Drosophila melanogaster: one gene and its partner. The protein of the gene in region 2 interacts with the protein of the main gene of each other region in a pairwise test. Each region holds a gene or a part of one and is shown on either strand. Other genes may lie near its edges.

What was found. Proteins that work in one complex are often made in the same cells at the same time.
Region 1: the proteins of corto (region 2) and esc interact in binary tests that used the Drosophila melanogaster proteins (3 or more experiments, as listed by UniProt).

What each region holds. Positions count from the first base shown.
Region 1 is NT_033779.5:11,827,609-11,831,208, forward strand, and holds the start of esc (extra sexcombs), read right to left. Parts: upstream 1,798-3,600; 5' UTR 1,628-1,797; coding exon 1,568-1,627; intron 1,496-1,567; coding exon 1,362-1,495; intron 1,300-1,361; coding exon 1,128-1,299; intron 764-1,127; coding exon 1-763. Other genes in the region: Pde1c (phosphodiesterase 1c), read right to left, coding at 2,669-3,223. UniProt on the Drosophila melanogaster protein: Polycomb group (PcG) protein.
Region 2 is NT_033777.3:5,080,723-5,092,223, forward strand, and holds the start of corto (corto), read right to left. Parts: upstream 6,351-11,501; 5' UTR 5,304-6,350; coding exon 3,651-5,303; 3' UTR 1-3,650. UniProt on the Drosophila melanogaster protein: Essential protein required for proper condensation of mitotic chromosomes and progression through mitosis. Binds to specific polytene chromosome sites, many of which are shared with the posterior sex combs (Psc) protein.

The DNA.
Region 1 (3,600 bases), on a different chromosome or scaffold from region 2:
CGGGATCGCTGGGATCCAGCTCCCACACATACACCTTGCCCTGCTGATTGCCCAGGGCAATCACCTTCTGCCACGGATTGAAGCCGAATCTCACGAACCAGATCTCGCACTCGTCGTACTCGAATTCCGCAATTATCGTGCAGGAGGAGTCGCTCGGCTTCACCTGCTCGAAGCTCTGATGTAGTTGTCCCGGTTTCCAGCAGACAATGGCATTTTCGCAGGACTTGGAGAGCACAAAGTTGCCGAACCACTGCACACAGTCCACATAGTTCCTGTGTATATCCCGCGTTGAAAAATCGGGGAAGTGCTTGGTCACCGTGGGGAAAGGCAGCGTTGACTTCTCCTGGCTGAAAGTGTTCGACAGTTCGATCTTGTGATGGAACTCGGGCGTATTCAGACACCACAGCTTCAGCGAGTGATCCATGCCGCTCGACACAATGCGATCTCCACGCATATTAAAGTCGATGGACAGCACCTCATCGCGATGTCCCTCCACTCCGCCCAGGATGGCAATGCACACATGGCTCTGGATGTTCCACAATCTTATCGCGTGATCCTTGCTGCCCGAAAGCAAAAGCTGTAGCTTGTGCGGATGGAACTTCAGCTCGTTAATGGCCTGTCCATGGCCAATGTAGTTGCCCACCGCCTCATTCTGCTCGACATCAATAACCCGGATGACTCCGCGGTATCCAGCAGCGGCCAGGAGAGGTGAAGAGGTCTTAAGGTCGTACGACCAGGCGCAGGTGTAAAATACTTCATCGGGCTGGGAAGGGAATTCAAGATTTGTTGATGTATTTCGAGTTTGTACAATTACATTTGCGACCATATTCTCAGTTACTCTCGGCTAAATTAACAATATAAGCTTTAATTTGAAAACTTGACTGTTATGAAAAACCAAACTTAATACAAGAAATGATAAATGTTTGGATATTGTGAAACCATGCTGAAAGCCTGTAACGATTGTTCTTACTTTAAAACAATTAACAAAAGCAATGATTTAATAGAAACTTTGACTGGATCCCACTTTTTCTACAGCTTTGAATGCGATGTCTAATGTATGAAGCCCCTAACTTTAGCCAACTGATCAATAGGGTCTTGAAAGTGTATTCTGTATCCTGGCGACTCACATCCGGATCTGCATAGCAGTGGAGCAGCTGCATCCCGCCCTGTCGAGGGCACTCGTAGACGGTCACCCGGTTGCTGCCCGCCGTAGCGAAGACCTGTGGCTCATCCTTGCCCAGCAGCGTGTTGAAGGCTACGCCGAAGATGTTGGCTCCGTGGTTCTCCTTCACGTGGGTGCTTCATGGTAATCATTTGTAGGTTCAGTATCAGTGGCCAGCTGAGAAAGTGCATATTCTTACTCGTATTTGTAGGCGGCGCGACTTTTTGGCTTCGATTTGGTGCTCCGGCGACCGCGGCGCTTGCTGCGCGTGCTGGATGACGGGGACTTGCTGCGCGAGGTGGTGCTGTTGGTGGTATAGCTGGCCGACTCATCCTGCAGCCGGCACATGGCCCAAAAGATCCATTAATTCTCGGTTCGCACAGCCATTTGTCATTCGCTACTCACGCCGCATGATTCCTCCGACTCCTCGGGCTCGTTGCCGTTTTTCACTTTATCACTGCTCATTTCGAACGCGCGGCACGTTTGTACGGTTAAATGAAACCCAAATTAGGCCGCGACTTCAATGAACTATTCGATAATGCTTTTTTTAAATGTTTAAATAACGAGGCGAATGAAAATGTTTTTTTTTGGCGGCAATGGTGTGACCCCAGTCACGGATCGCGTAAAATACCCAGGCATTGCAGGCAGTACGGTCTTACCATTGCGCAGCGTGGCCACCTGGTCACGATCGGCTGGCCAGTGTTGGTAAACATTAAACGGTATTTAACACACTTAGGCGGGAAAGTTAAAAAAAGTTCAAAAACGACAAAACACATGCGCAAGCTAGTTTTTTAATATAGAAAACAAACAAATGTAGGACAATCAACATGCCATGGATTCATGTGCGGTATTCAAACTTTGTACATGTATTCACAAAATTACACTGGTCGACAAGACTAGGAGAGTTGCTGCTTGCGAGTGGCGTCAAAAGTGGAAGATATAGTTTCTCAGAAATGCAAATGTATCATACAAATACTTTAAGCAGTTTTGAATACATTTAAAGTATATCTTCCAGTTCTCACTCCTTCAAGTGCTTACTACGTATGAATGTAAGTTTGATTTAATAGTTGCACGGAGTATTTAAACGTAGTAAGCAATTTTTTGTCCAAACGCGGCAACGAAACATTTACAATCCCGCTGAGCGCGGCTGGGGAACGAAACAAGTGTCCTTTTTTCTTTTTTTTTTTTTGATTAGTCTAGGATAAAATAGTTATTTACAACAGAAGCGAGCAAAAGATTTGGGGTAGGGGACAGAGGCTAGACAGAAGATTACAGCAGTGGAAATCGCAGACAGAGGTCAGCAGACAGATGGATAGATTGGATAAAGGAGAGATAGAGAGACAGAGTTCATAGAGTTATGTGTGTATATATAGAAAGTAGTTCATTCTGGAGCTGTGTGGTTGTTGGTTGGTTAACGCAAACGTGAAACGATAAAGGCAAATCGAACGAACTGAAGAGGCGTAACGGATAAACGTTAGTCTAGCATAGAAATCAAATTTCAAGTACGTTTTGTTCGTCGACATGGACCTGGCCCAGGTGGGTGTCCTTAGGCGGCGTTGCCGATGCACCGCCGCTGGGTTACTGCAACTGCCACTGCTGCCGGCACTTCCCGCTTGACTCTCGGCCGCCTTGGCACTTGGCTCCGCGGTTGCGCTGGAGGAGGTGGTGGTTTGGGATGTCAATGTGGATGTGCTGGCGGGCGGCGGTGGTCCCTTGTCGCCGGGATCCTTCGAAGGACTTTCTTCCATCACCGATTCCCTTACGGTTTCCAGGGCGGGTTGAAGCTTAGGGGCAGGTTGTGCGATAGTTTCGCTCGAGGTGTTGGATGGTGGACCCGTTGGGCCACTGTGGGTCTGCGGCGCCTGGGAAACGCCCTTGGTGCGACTCTCTATGCTGTCCTGGTTGTCAGCGCCTGGTGTGACACCTGCACCTGCTCCCCCAGGCGACGCCTCCTGCAGGCTGCAACTCCTATTGGAGTTGTTGTTGTCCTGCTGCTGGTCATCGCGTCCGTGGCTATGGCGACTGCAGTTCAGGTTCTTGCAATTCCCATTGCAGCCCTCCCTGCAGAAGTAAATGGCCGGCATACGTTGGGCGCCAGTTTCGAGTGCCAAGGCGGTCAAGTTTTTCGGCGCCCAGCAGTTGGCAGTGAGTAACAGCGAAAATGCAAATGGGCAATTTTTGGGCAACGAGACACCACGTTGATTTGACGTTGCATAGCATTCGGATTGTTTGTGTGTTTTGTGCAAAAGTTTTCATTTAGTTTTCATGTTTTTTTTTTTTTTTGGTTTTAGGTAAATAGTTTTGGCAATAGAAAGAAAGAATATATAAATAGAACATCAGTTGAGAGATTGTGATAAAGCTTTTGGGTTTAGTAGGGGCAGTGGATTGGACTTTTCCCACGAAGATTGCCTTACTCTAAATAAAATATCTGTCAATCA
Region 2 (11,501 bases):
CCACGCCCATCAGCGCCCCCGCCCACGACCCAGACAATGTTTGGTTAGACAGCTTCCGACGCTGAGTTTCTGCCCCGAATTATTTTATATTTATTTTCGGCGCTTGACAACCGTCGACGCCGCTACCACTTGGTTTTGGGTTACTCTTTTTATGCCCGGCGCGGACTTCGTTTGATGCGCTTTGCGTCATTTTGGTTCGAGCAGTTTGGTTACTTTTGTGTAGCAGTACGAGTGGAATTTAAAAGTAAACCACTCTTGCAACTGGGTGCTTCTGTTTTTCATGCCTTTTATTTGCATGTTTTTCTTCCGCCGATTCGGTTTGGGTTTATTTATCCGTTGATGACTTTTAAATGGCAGCTGTTTCCCGCCCGTCGGCAAAAAAAAAGAAAAAAAAACACTACCAAATGAAGTCAATTAAAGGAGAAAACCTTTTAGTTGACCTATCCCGCTCCAAAAGGCCTGCATTCAGTCGGACTAAGCGGCTAATCGAATATGGACATGGAACTCGCGTTTCACAGCGCCGAGTCAATTGAGTCACCTGCTAACTCTTAAGTGGTATTCATTCGAATTGTTTTTTAAGCTCTAATTAAATCTGTATGTGGGAATTGCTGATAGGGAAATCGAGGCTCCCGACTATAACCATCCATTTGCGAGTTAAAGTGTTCCTTCGTAATTATATTATGCAATGGCAATTAAGTATGCTCCTATTATTCCAATCTCAAATTGTACCCATTTGCTACATTGTCTTGGACGTAGTCCGAATTTGTTGAAAAACTAACTGGGGAATCTAGGCGGGTACCACAATCCCTGCAGTAAGATAATCCACAAAAAAAAAAAAAAAAAAAAAAAACCACAAAACTAACAGCCCTCGAAGTAACCACTTGATCACTGAGCTCATTTTCAGACATGGGGAAATTTGTCGAGTAACGAAAGCACTCTAGTTTGGAACTCGAGGGACTGGCCATTATCTGCGATGCCCACACATGGAACAGTAATCACATCAGATACGAGTGTGAATCCAAAGTGCAGCTTAGTAATCCCAGACGAGACGAGACGATCCGAGCTGAGCGGCACCTGCCTAACGCGGCAACGGGGCGGATGAGTGACGACAATGGCGATGACCTCGCATTCGAATTGGGGCGGTGGGGCGGTGGGTTACAGGGGCCATCACTCACCCAGCCGCATGCAAATGGCCCCAGCAGCTGATAGTTGATTGCTCAAACGAAATGAAAACAAACAACCGACGCTTTCAGCTGGAGCTGGATCCGATCTCCAGTATATTTTAATTACACTTGTGTGAATGCCGCCGGCGGCAATTGAAATATTTTTCCGTCTCTAATCTACGACCAATTTAATATGAATTGAATAAGTGAATAGATGAATCCCGCGGAGAGTGCGGCACCATTCAGGAAGCAGTGGCTTGTTTAGATTGGGCGTGCAAGCGGGACTACTATATATGGAAAGTGCCCAGTGGAGAGTGATTTCTAAGGTTTCTTGCAACAGATGCTGTTGAATGGGCTTCCACGAAGGATGGAGAAATACAAATGTGCTCTAAATCAGATTCATTTATGTGTTAAATGCAATTCACAGCAGATGAATAAAAGTCAAGCTCCCCTAAATAATGTTTTTCCTAATGAAATGACTTGTATGTTGAATAAGTTATGGATTAATATGTGGTCTGGCCATTTCTTCGACTAACCGATGCGTCTAAACTGGTCCCACAAATTCCTGCAATGGTTCCGTCGTTCTGCAATTGGACTAAAGTCTTTTCTTTCTTGAATCTCGAGTGGATTGCGACCGCATGGTCGTGGAGTAGAGTCGGACTTGTTTGGATGTAGGGCAGCCTAAAGCGGACAGATGAGTCAGTGCCGGTCCCCCGGCAGCGGATGTCGTTCATTTCAGTTGAAAACTCTTTTTTGGCTTAATTAATTCGACGATTGGCTTAATGGCGCGCTGAATCCTCAGCGGGTTTTCCTGCCCATGCATAAATTACTCAGCTATTTGCTTTCCGGAACCCAGCAACTCCCATGGAACCGCGCCAATCGCCTCGACATGCAATCAGTAATGAAAGCACACACTTTCCCGAGGGACCTTGGGGGCGAGCAAAAACAATTTCAGCTGATAACATCTCGCGTTTCCTGGCCACTCGAAACCATTAGATTTTGCTGCGTTTTCACCTCGCAACAAAGACCAAAATTAGAGCCGTAAGCACTGAAGGCAAAGGCAGTTCGGTTATATCACTGTAACGAATGAACTTCGAGAATGCTGGTCTTTGAAAGGTAAGTACAGTGAGGCCGCTGGTGGCGTGAACAAGAACGTATTTAAACTTCTAATCGAAAACAAAGGCGTAAAAGCGAAATAACCGACGTCGTGGAACACATATATGTACATAGAGTGGAAATCAACATCTCTCGATATCGTAGTGTGTTGCCAGATTTAGTCCTTCAACAGCTGGCTCAAATACATTAAATAGTATATAAGTATCTAAGTATAAGATATTAATAGTGAAATTTCAAGAGACGTCCTCATGTCTAGCCATAAATCGGAGCCCTGTAAGTTTTCGAAATTCGTCTCAGCTCAACGGTTTGCCATTAGCGAGGGACCCCTGTGCTGTGCGCCGAGGTCACCCCAACCCGCTGCCCGGTCCTCCATCAATGACAATAATCAATCACGGCTCACCGCAGAGGAGGAGGCCATGAGGCGGAGCAGAATGAGGAAACAAAGGGAGCGAAGATGAAAATCGAATCAAGGCGAACAGAAAGAGGAGTTAGTCGGTCGGTGGTGGTGGGAAGTGTGAAAAGTTGGCCACAAAAGCCGACGGCAAGGGGAGTTTTCCTTGCCGCGGCCAAATCACTTGAACTATGCTTTTCTTGCTCGCTACGTTAATTGAAAACACAATTTACTTAATTTTTGCATATCTCGCTTCAAATTACGTTGCATAATTTTGAATAATTTTTATTCGTATTTTTTGTGTTGCTTTTTTCTGCTTTACTCTTCTCTCTCCATCGTTTGGTAATAATTTTCCTTTCATATTTTCGTATTCTTTCGGTAAATGGTTGTTGTAACATTTTGCTGATTTGTAATTAAATATGCGTATGTGTAACTTTTAGCAATTGTTTTGTTTAATGTTGCTGCCGTTGTTGTTGTTGTTGCAGTTCTTGTTTTTGCCGTTGTTGCAGTTGTTATTGTTTATGTGGTTGGCTTACACAGAGCGGTTGCTGTTGTTTCTTGTTGGTTGTTTAATTTAAATTAAATTAATTACTAAAATTATTTTATAACAAATATCACTACAATAGTTTGCATTTTTTTTTTTTGTTGTTGTTTGTTTTTGTATCGTTTATCAATTACTACCATTACTAAAAGAAAAAAAGATCGCTCATTTCCTCTTTTCTCACCGTCGGACAACAATTTCTCATAGCAGCTAGACAGAATTTTGTTTCATCTCTTAATATTTTTAGAGTTAATTACTTTTGATTCTAAAAGCTTTGATGGGTGTGTATATATAGTACTGTTTTAGGGGAGGATCTATTAATTATTCCTTGAGGCGGCTATTTCATCGACGCGTACTTGGTAGGCGCCTGTCTCATGTGTTGCAAGTTGCTGTTGCTGCTGCTGATGTTGCCGTTGTCCTGGTTGCTGCTGGTGCTGCATCACACGTTGTAGCAGGAGATCTGCGGCAGGTGCTGGAATGTGGGCGTGGCCGCCACCGCCGTGGCCGCCGAACTGAACGGCACAAACGAGGTCTGGCCGGCGGCAGCGGCGGCGGCTGCCAAGTTGAGCGAGGCGGCCGCCGCGTACGGGTGCATCCGCTGGGACCGCAAGTACTGGCGGTACTTTCCGCTCAACTTGTCGGTGGCCGTGTTCACTGCTCCCGTCGCCCCCGCACCACTCACCGCCCCGCCTCCGCCCACCGACGCCGACCCGCCCGAGGCCGCTCCGGCGGTGGGCGTGGCCGAGTAGAGGCGCATGGGATTGGTGTCAGGGCCGGCCTGATAATTGCTAGGAACTGTGGCCATCGGCGAGCGGTCCATCAGCATGGACGTCGCGTCCCACGGCGGCGGAGGCAGGCAGTGTTGCTGTTGCTGCTGTGGCTGCTGCTGCTGCACCTGCGACTGTTGCAGCTTCCCCGAGGCGACCGCCGTCTGTCCGTAGCTGCCGGAGATCATGGCGTCCCGCTTCCCGCCCCCTGCTCCGCCGCCACTACCCTTGGCCGCGTAGTGGCTGTGGGGATGCAGCATGTGGTGCGGCGTGAGGGCGGTGCGGGCGGCCAGCGCAGCCAGTTGATCCCACTGGCCGGCGGCTGCGGCGGCTATCGAGGCCTGGGCCGCAGCTGCCGCCGCTGAGTTGGCTGCATGGCTCTGGCTCTGGCTCTGACTTTGGCTTTGGCGTTGGCTTTGGTTGCTGCTGGCACGTTGCTGCTGCTGCTGCTGCTGTTGCTGCTGCTGGTGCTGGCGGACCAGACTAGACTGTTGCTGGGGATAGTGGGCCTGCTGCGACATCTGCGACATCTGCTGGTGCTGTTGCCGCAGTTGCTGCTGTTGCTGTTGGTAGCGTTGCTGCTGTTGTTGCTGCTGCTGGGCGCTCGTAGCCGCCCGGGCTCCACGCCGCGCGGCACTACTGCTGGGCGCCGTGGCCACCGCCGCACCGCTTCCGCCTCCGCCCAGGGCCGCTCCGCTGCTCAGCGAGCTGCTGCTCACCGCCCGCGCGGTCGCATGCATGTTGTTCACGAACGGGCTGCGCCGCTGCGACTCCATCTTGCGGAAGTAGCACGGGTGGATCATCAGCAGGGGCTCCACTCTCTGGCCCGCCGGCGGCTTGGGCTGGTTGGGCAGCTCGTACTCCACGCTGCAGTCCACGTGCAGCGGGATGCTGTAGTCCTTCTGCGGCGATGGAGCGGGGGCTGCGTTGCTGTTGCTGCTGGCAGTCTGCTGCTGCTGCTGCTGCTGTTGCTGCTGTTGTTGCTGTTGTTGTTGTTGTCTGCTGTTGGCAACCGCGGCGGCGACCTGCGTTTGGGTCGCCGCCGCATGGCTGTGGCGCGAGTTGCTGCTGCTGCTGGTGTTGGCGGGCTGGTGGTGATGGCGGTGGTGTTGCTGCTGCTGCTGCTGTTGCAGCAACTGCTGCTGGTGGGCAGCCACGGCGGCGTGGTACATGTGTTGCTGCTGCTGCTGGTGATGATGCTGCTGCTGCGTCTGGCTGTGCTGCTGCTGTTGCTGCTGCTGTTGCTGCTGCAGGGCGGACAGGGCCGACATGCCGTGCGACAGGGACGACATGTCGTAGTTGGCATAACAGGCGGCCATCGTCATTGCTGTATTCAGGGGATCTTTTAGCTTTTGCTCTCGTTTCGGTAACACAGAATTCGCTTTTGGTTTGCTTATTTACTTAGATTTAGATTTTTATCATTTTGCGGATGTTTTTCGCTTTCTTCACTTTCGAAAAAATTCACTTTTGTGGTTTTATTGGCACTGGTAATCCAAAAAGAGCGGCTAACGGTAAATTTGCCGCTGCAGGTAATCCGTGAGTTGGTTGTTGCTTTTGTTTTTGTGTTTTGAGATAGGAGGAACCTTAATCCATATGTGTGTTTGCTTTGCTTTGGAATTCGCTTTAACCCGTATAATATTAGCTGCTGTTCGCGTGTTTAACTTTGTTTCGTTACGTTTATTGTATATTTATTAGCGTTTTAGTCAGTCTTTGTTTGGTTTTACATAAATGCAGCGAACAGTTGGAGCTGCTGGGTGAGTGTGAGTGCGAGTGGGTGCGCGTGTCGGGGTGAGTGAACAATCCACGTGTGTTTTCAGTCTTTTTGCCCGTTTTTGCTGGCTAACTTAACCGTTGCTTTTTAGCTACTCCTTGTCTTCTTTCCATTCGGTTATGCTCTGTTCTGTTCTTTTCTCGCGGGGGTGAGTTCGCGGAGTAGGTAACTTGTTAGTTCTATGCGCAATAGAACTGCCGAACGAACGTCTCATCCACTCCGAAGAAAAACGCGATCTGAATTGTAGTTTCTGCTTTGTAGTTTTGCTGCCGCCGCTTGCTTCTCTGCCGCGGTCTCTGCCGACGTTTGTAAGCGCAGCGAGTATGCTGAATACGGAGCGCGCACGAAAAACAGCTGTTGGCTAGACGCCTACGCCTGTGTGTAGGCTTTGCTTTTATTGTTTTTGTTGATTGTCTGCCGATTTACTTATTTTTCGTATCACAATTGGCTGCGTTGCGTTTGTTTTTGGGTTTTAACTGCGTGTTCACCTTCGACGCGACGTTGAATCTTCTTAACTCTCTTCTTCGTTAATTACGTGCCACAGACCACGCTTTATCTCCTCCTATGTCCGCACGAATCGAGCTCTTTGAAGCGACTGACTCGAAACGTCGTCTTCGCTCCATTCTGCCGACGCCTACCTGCTGTTCGGCACAGCTGATGTTCCGTGACGTATTCAGCACACACACAGTCGCAGGAGACGAGCGCAGAGTTATTGTTATTGTTGCTTTCCTATATAAATTGCATTCAATGGCCGCTCTCTCTCCCTCTCTGTGACCGCTCTCTCTGTGCCTGCGTGTGTGTGTGTGGTATACATTCAGCCATGTTACTACACGGCGGCCATCTTTACAACTGCTTTGGTCGAGACAGAGAGAGACAAAGAGGCGAGAAAAGAGCGAGAGAGCGCACATTATTTTGTAATACGATGTCTTTAACCGTTTTAGTGCTTTAATTTTTTACGGCAAACGCATTTTTGGGAGCAGCTTTATGGGGTCGTAAAAGCAGATGGGTTCTAAAGGGGTTAACGGCGAGTTGAGAGCTAATTGAGCCGCACTAAAAACGGGGAGTTGAATGAATCTATCAGCATCACCTGGTTAAAATGGGAATGGGTTATTTTTACTTATGTATTTCTGAGCACTTTGGTACACCCCTAAAACTTAAAACCCATATAATATCAACATAAGCAGTGTGATCTCCACACAACTGCCTAAAAATCCTCTGCGACGCAACTTCGAACACACCTACGTAGTTCCTTAATATAAGAATACAACAAATACCCCAAGAACCTCTCCGGTTTTGGAATACGAAAGCTAAACTGCGCACTGAGAGACTTTCTGCAGACCAAAAAAGGAAAACAAATTGCAAAAACTCAAACAGACAGCGATATTAAACATTTCTGTACTAAAAAATGGGCAATTTAAGTCAGGAAAGGGCACTGTCTCGCTCGCACACACACAGCGAGAGAGCGAGAGAGAGTGAGAAAACGGCTGGGAATTACACACATTGTAATAAATAAGGAAGGTCGTTGCCATAGCAGCCGCCGTTGGCGTCGTTTTTTTCCCCCCATTTTGTTGTTGCTGCAAGAGAGTGGCTCGCTCTGTGGGGCTCATTCAGCAACTGCTGATAACAAATCAGCTGTTTTGTTATTTGGGGAGGTGTGTCCGCGTGCGAGTGTGTTGGTGAGTCTGGCTGTCTCTCTTGGTACATATTTGTTTTTTTTTTTCTCAAAGCATATGTTTGTTGGAATCGCTGTTGCAGCTGTTGTTGTTGTGGGGCTGAAAGTTGTTGCTGTCAAGTTGCCATTGCATTTCAGTGTTGTTGCTATTCGATGTGCAAGTAAAATGAAAACCTATGTGGCGGATTTGCATTGAAGCATGTCTTTTAATCCAAAAAGTAAAACTAATGCTTCTTATTGTCTACTAAAAACTAATAATTCGTATTATGTGCTAATTATTCTAAGACTCTTAAGAAAGAACATGATTGGTGCATGTATACAAGTTAATGGATACTATTGTTTGATAGCCTTAATGATTTCCTGCTTTTCTACTGTTGTTGCCATGGTTTTGTTAATGAATTGTCTTCATTGCATCTGGGATTGTGGATGGTTTTTGGAGTCTGGTTTGGGTTAATATCGACACTATAGTGTTGTAGCTTTATGCCGACTTTTATGGTGCTGTCGCTGCTGCTTTTAAGCCTTTTCTTTATTGGTGCTTCCGCCGTATTATTTGTATGGGTTTTGGATCTGATGTAGCTGCCAGCTTTGCACTCGTGCGTCCCTTTGTGTGCTTATTTCTGCTCTGCTGTGCTGTTTTTTTGCAGCTTTTTTCTGCCTTTGGTTGCTTTCTGGATTGATGTTGCTGCCGTGATGTTGCTGCTTGCGTGCTTAATGACGAGTCGGCCGCATTACAGTTTGATTACGGGCCGCCAATTTGGAAATTACCGAACTGCTTGAATTAGCGGGCCAGTCGCTCTGCTGGAGAGCCTATGGCTCAACCCCAACCCAAGCGAACGGCCAGAACGAACAAAAACGGGCAGCAGGAAATTGGTCAAGAGGGGCAACAGACAAAACGACAACTGCCAAGACGACGACAATGCCTGAAGTGGTATAGAAAACTTCGAAATTAGAAATTCCAGACAGATAATGGTTTACTCATGTGGGGTTGGCTGAATGCAATAAAATGCGCCCTTTGTGTTTTCATAACTGGTCAAAATACTATTTATTTCCGCTGTATTGCACTGAACGTGCATCTTGCAGGTATAAGTTCAAGTAAGTTGCAAGTAGATTCTACTTGATAGGATCAGGTTATAGTTATCATAGTTTTCGCAGTCTCTTACTGCAAGCCATGGACAAAATGAGTTTCTTTGTATCGGGGCTACGATCGACTATCGAACTCGGAAGCAGTGAAATGTATAATTTGTATTATTTTAGGGCAGCTCTATGATAACATTCAGCATTCTTGTTTGTCCCCAGGACATTTTTTTGACCGTCTGTTTTGGGATCTGGCATTCACTCATTAAATCGGTCCAACCCACATTTCCTGTTTCTCTAATCTCTGTCATCGTCTCCTTTTATATTTGCCTGCTGCATCGCCCTGCTGCCCGGATTGCCTCCTTTTCTTCCCTTGTGGCATATCGAATCCATAACTCAACTGCCTTTCTCCTGCAGAAGTCCAAGTCACGGTCCTCCCGATCCGTTCTCCCCGGCCCAGTCGGCCTGTACGGTGAAACCTGTTTGCATTATTAAGTAACCGCTAGGCCGGCAACTGATCCCGACTGCGACCGGTTGCGCTGCATGGCTTCTTCCCAAGAAGACTGTGTTCTGTGTTTCGTCGCTTCTATTCCCCGACGTCTGCACGAAACTTTCGTTTTTTATACCCGCTACTCGCTGGGGGTTAGGGGTATACGCCACTCTACAAATTACACTTTGCCGAACAGTTCTTCGGTTTGGTTTTCAACCGGACCTAAATAAATCATAAATATATATGAATATCTCATTGAAATCCTAGTTTAGGTGCACTTACAGGCCAAATCTATGCTGTTTATATATATATATGTCACTATGATGCAAACGTTAAAAAAAACAAATGCTGTACATCGACAGAAACGCGCATGGAAATTGAAATATTTATAACGTGCTATTAGGTATTTGACAAAATCCTTTCTAAGACCCATGGATGAACCTTTTTGAGGCATCTGTGTGTAGGGTATCTCTTGATCGAGCGGAGCGATTAGGCAGCCCATTTCAGTGTGTCCCTCTTGCTCCTTCCGCTGCAGTTGGCTGTCTGTTTGTCTGGTCCGCTTGTTAATTCGAAATAAAAACAGGAAAATTTACTTTACAATCTGTGCTAAAATCGTAAATTTTTAGCCGGCTCAGGGGAGCGGCAGTTGCTGTTCCACGTCCAGTTTCGCAGGTAAGACGACGCTGCCGACGAGGCAGGCCAGGAGGCACGGCGCAGCCCGGCGAGGTAGGCTAATCCGCTTGGGCATGACAACGATGACTATTTGTTCTGGGCCCGGATCTCATGCCTCCCGCCCTCCCCTCCTCCTACGACCATCCTGTTCTGTTCTTTTCTGTTTGTGGTTCCACGTACTCTCGTACTCTCGAATTCTCGGGCCGTGCCTAGTTGTTATCTCTTCTTATTTAATTTTGGCTGCCATTGCCGAAGTTGCTGTGCTGTCGCCGTCTAATCTCCACGGCAATATCATCACGAACGCTGGATACCCGGCTCACCAGCTTACCAGTTCACCAGCTCCTCGGTGCAAGAGCCTGTCCGTTGATTGATGCGTTTCCCATTCGGAATTTATGCCATGGACCATTTTGGGCAAGCGCTAAGCAATTCATTTTTTTTTCAGCCAGCGGTCCTTGTATCCCCCTTTGAAGCATGCACCTCAGTCCGTTCAGCGTTGCCCGCTCGACCGCTTTACCGCTAAACAAGCGGGATTTTAGACTGCACTTCAAACTGTTGCAAACTTTTGTCTACTGGATTAATGTGGTCAAGTTATAAGATTTCCAAAACTTCGAAAAACTGTTCAAATCAAACTTTTTGAATAATACATAATTTAATCGAAGGCTTACTGCATGTGATTTGATGGCTGTGTATCGCAAGCTATTCTGCTGGTAGTTAACGTTAAAACTTTTTTAAAAATTCGCTCCCATATGCATTTCTTAAATATATCTTCTTTTAGAAAGTAACTTATTGCCTGGTTACCAAGTATCTTCTTCAAATTCTATGCAGCCGCAACTCCACTTCGCTTCATGACTCACAGCGTTATTAATAGATCTCAGTGGGCATCACTGATCGGATCCCCTCCAGCTGCAATCAGCCTGATCGGGCTAGCGATACTCTGCCAGGAACAGCAGCAACATCAACCGCAGCAACAGGCACATCAGCAACATCCACGGCGCAACAGCAGGAGCACCATTAGGATCGTCCTCAGACATGTTTTTCGGATGGCAATGGCGATGGAGATGAGGATGGCAATGGGGACGGCACGTCGAGTGAATCTAAATTGCTAAATACCTTTTTATGGTTGCTGGCAGTCTCACTGCGGAGCTTCGGTTTAAGATTTTAAAATGTACGAGTATCTTGGTATCGCCGGCTTTCGCAGAAGCGATCCATAGTTGCTTTATAATGTATTGTGTGCATTTTGATTTTCCCTGAAAGCGAACGGCCTGCTCATTCCTGTGATTCATCATGGCATCATGGGGCTGTTGCCGCTTTTGGAAGTTGCTCCTTCGGCATGTTTTTAATAGCCCTTCGGGAATTATTCATTTCCATTGTCTCGCTGCCGTCCAATTTCGATTGCCATCGAGTTATAAACAATTTCAATTATTTTTCCCGTCTCCTTTTCCGTCGTTCGAAATTATGCAACTAATTGCCGGGAATGCGGAGCATTTGACTCCCGAAAGGATGCATTCCCTTTCTCGTCTCCAGTTGGCAGTCAGCTGGCAAATTCATAATTAACCTGACCTTTGATCGCCGGAAGGGATGGCCAAAAGAAGGGAACTCAAAGGGGGTTGGCCCAGGGGTCGATTATATACGATTATACGATTTGGAATTTTATTATAGTTCTCTTGTTTCTGGGAGGATGGATTCCTCCACTTTCTCGTTTCTACCGTTTATTTCTCGCATCATGTTTTTTTTTATTGGAAATGCTATTAAACGGATTCCGCTGAAATACTTTTGATGAACCGGACCCCGGAATGTCGTTCAAGTTGGGGTTCTCAAAAGCAAAGCAACATACTGCGAGGCAA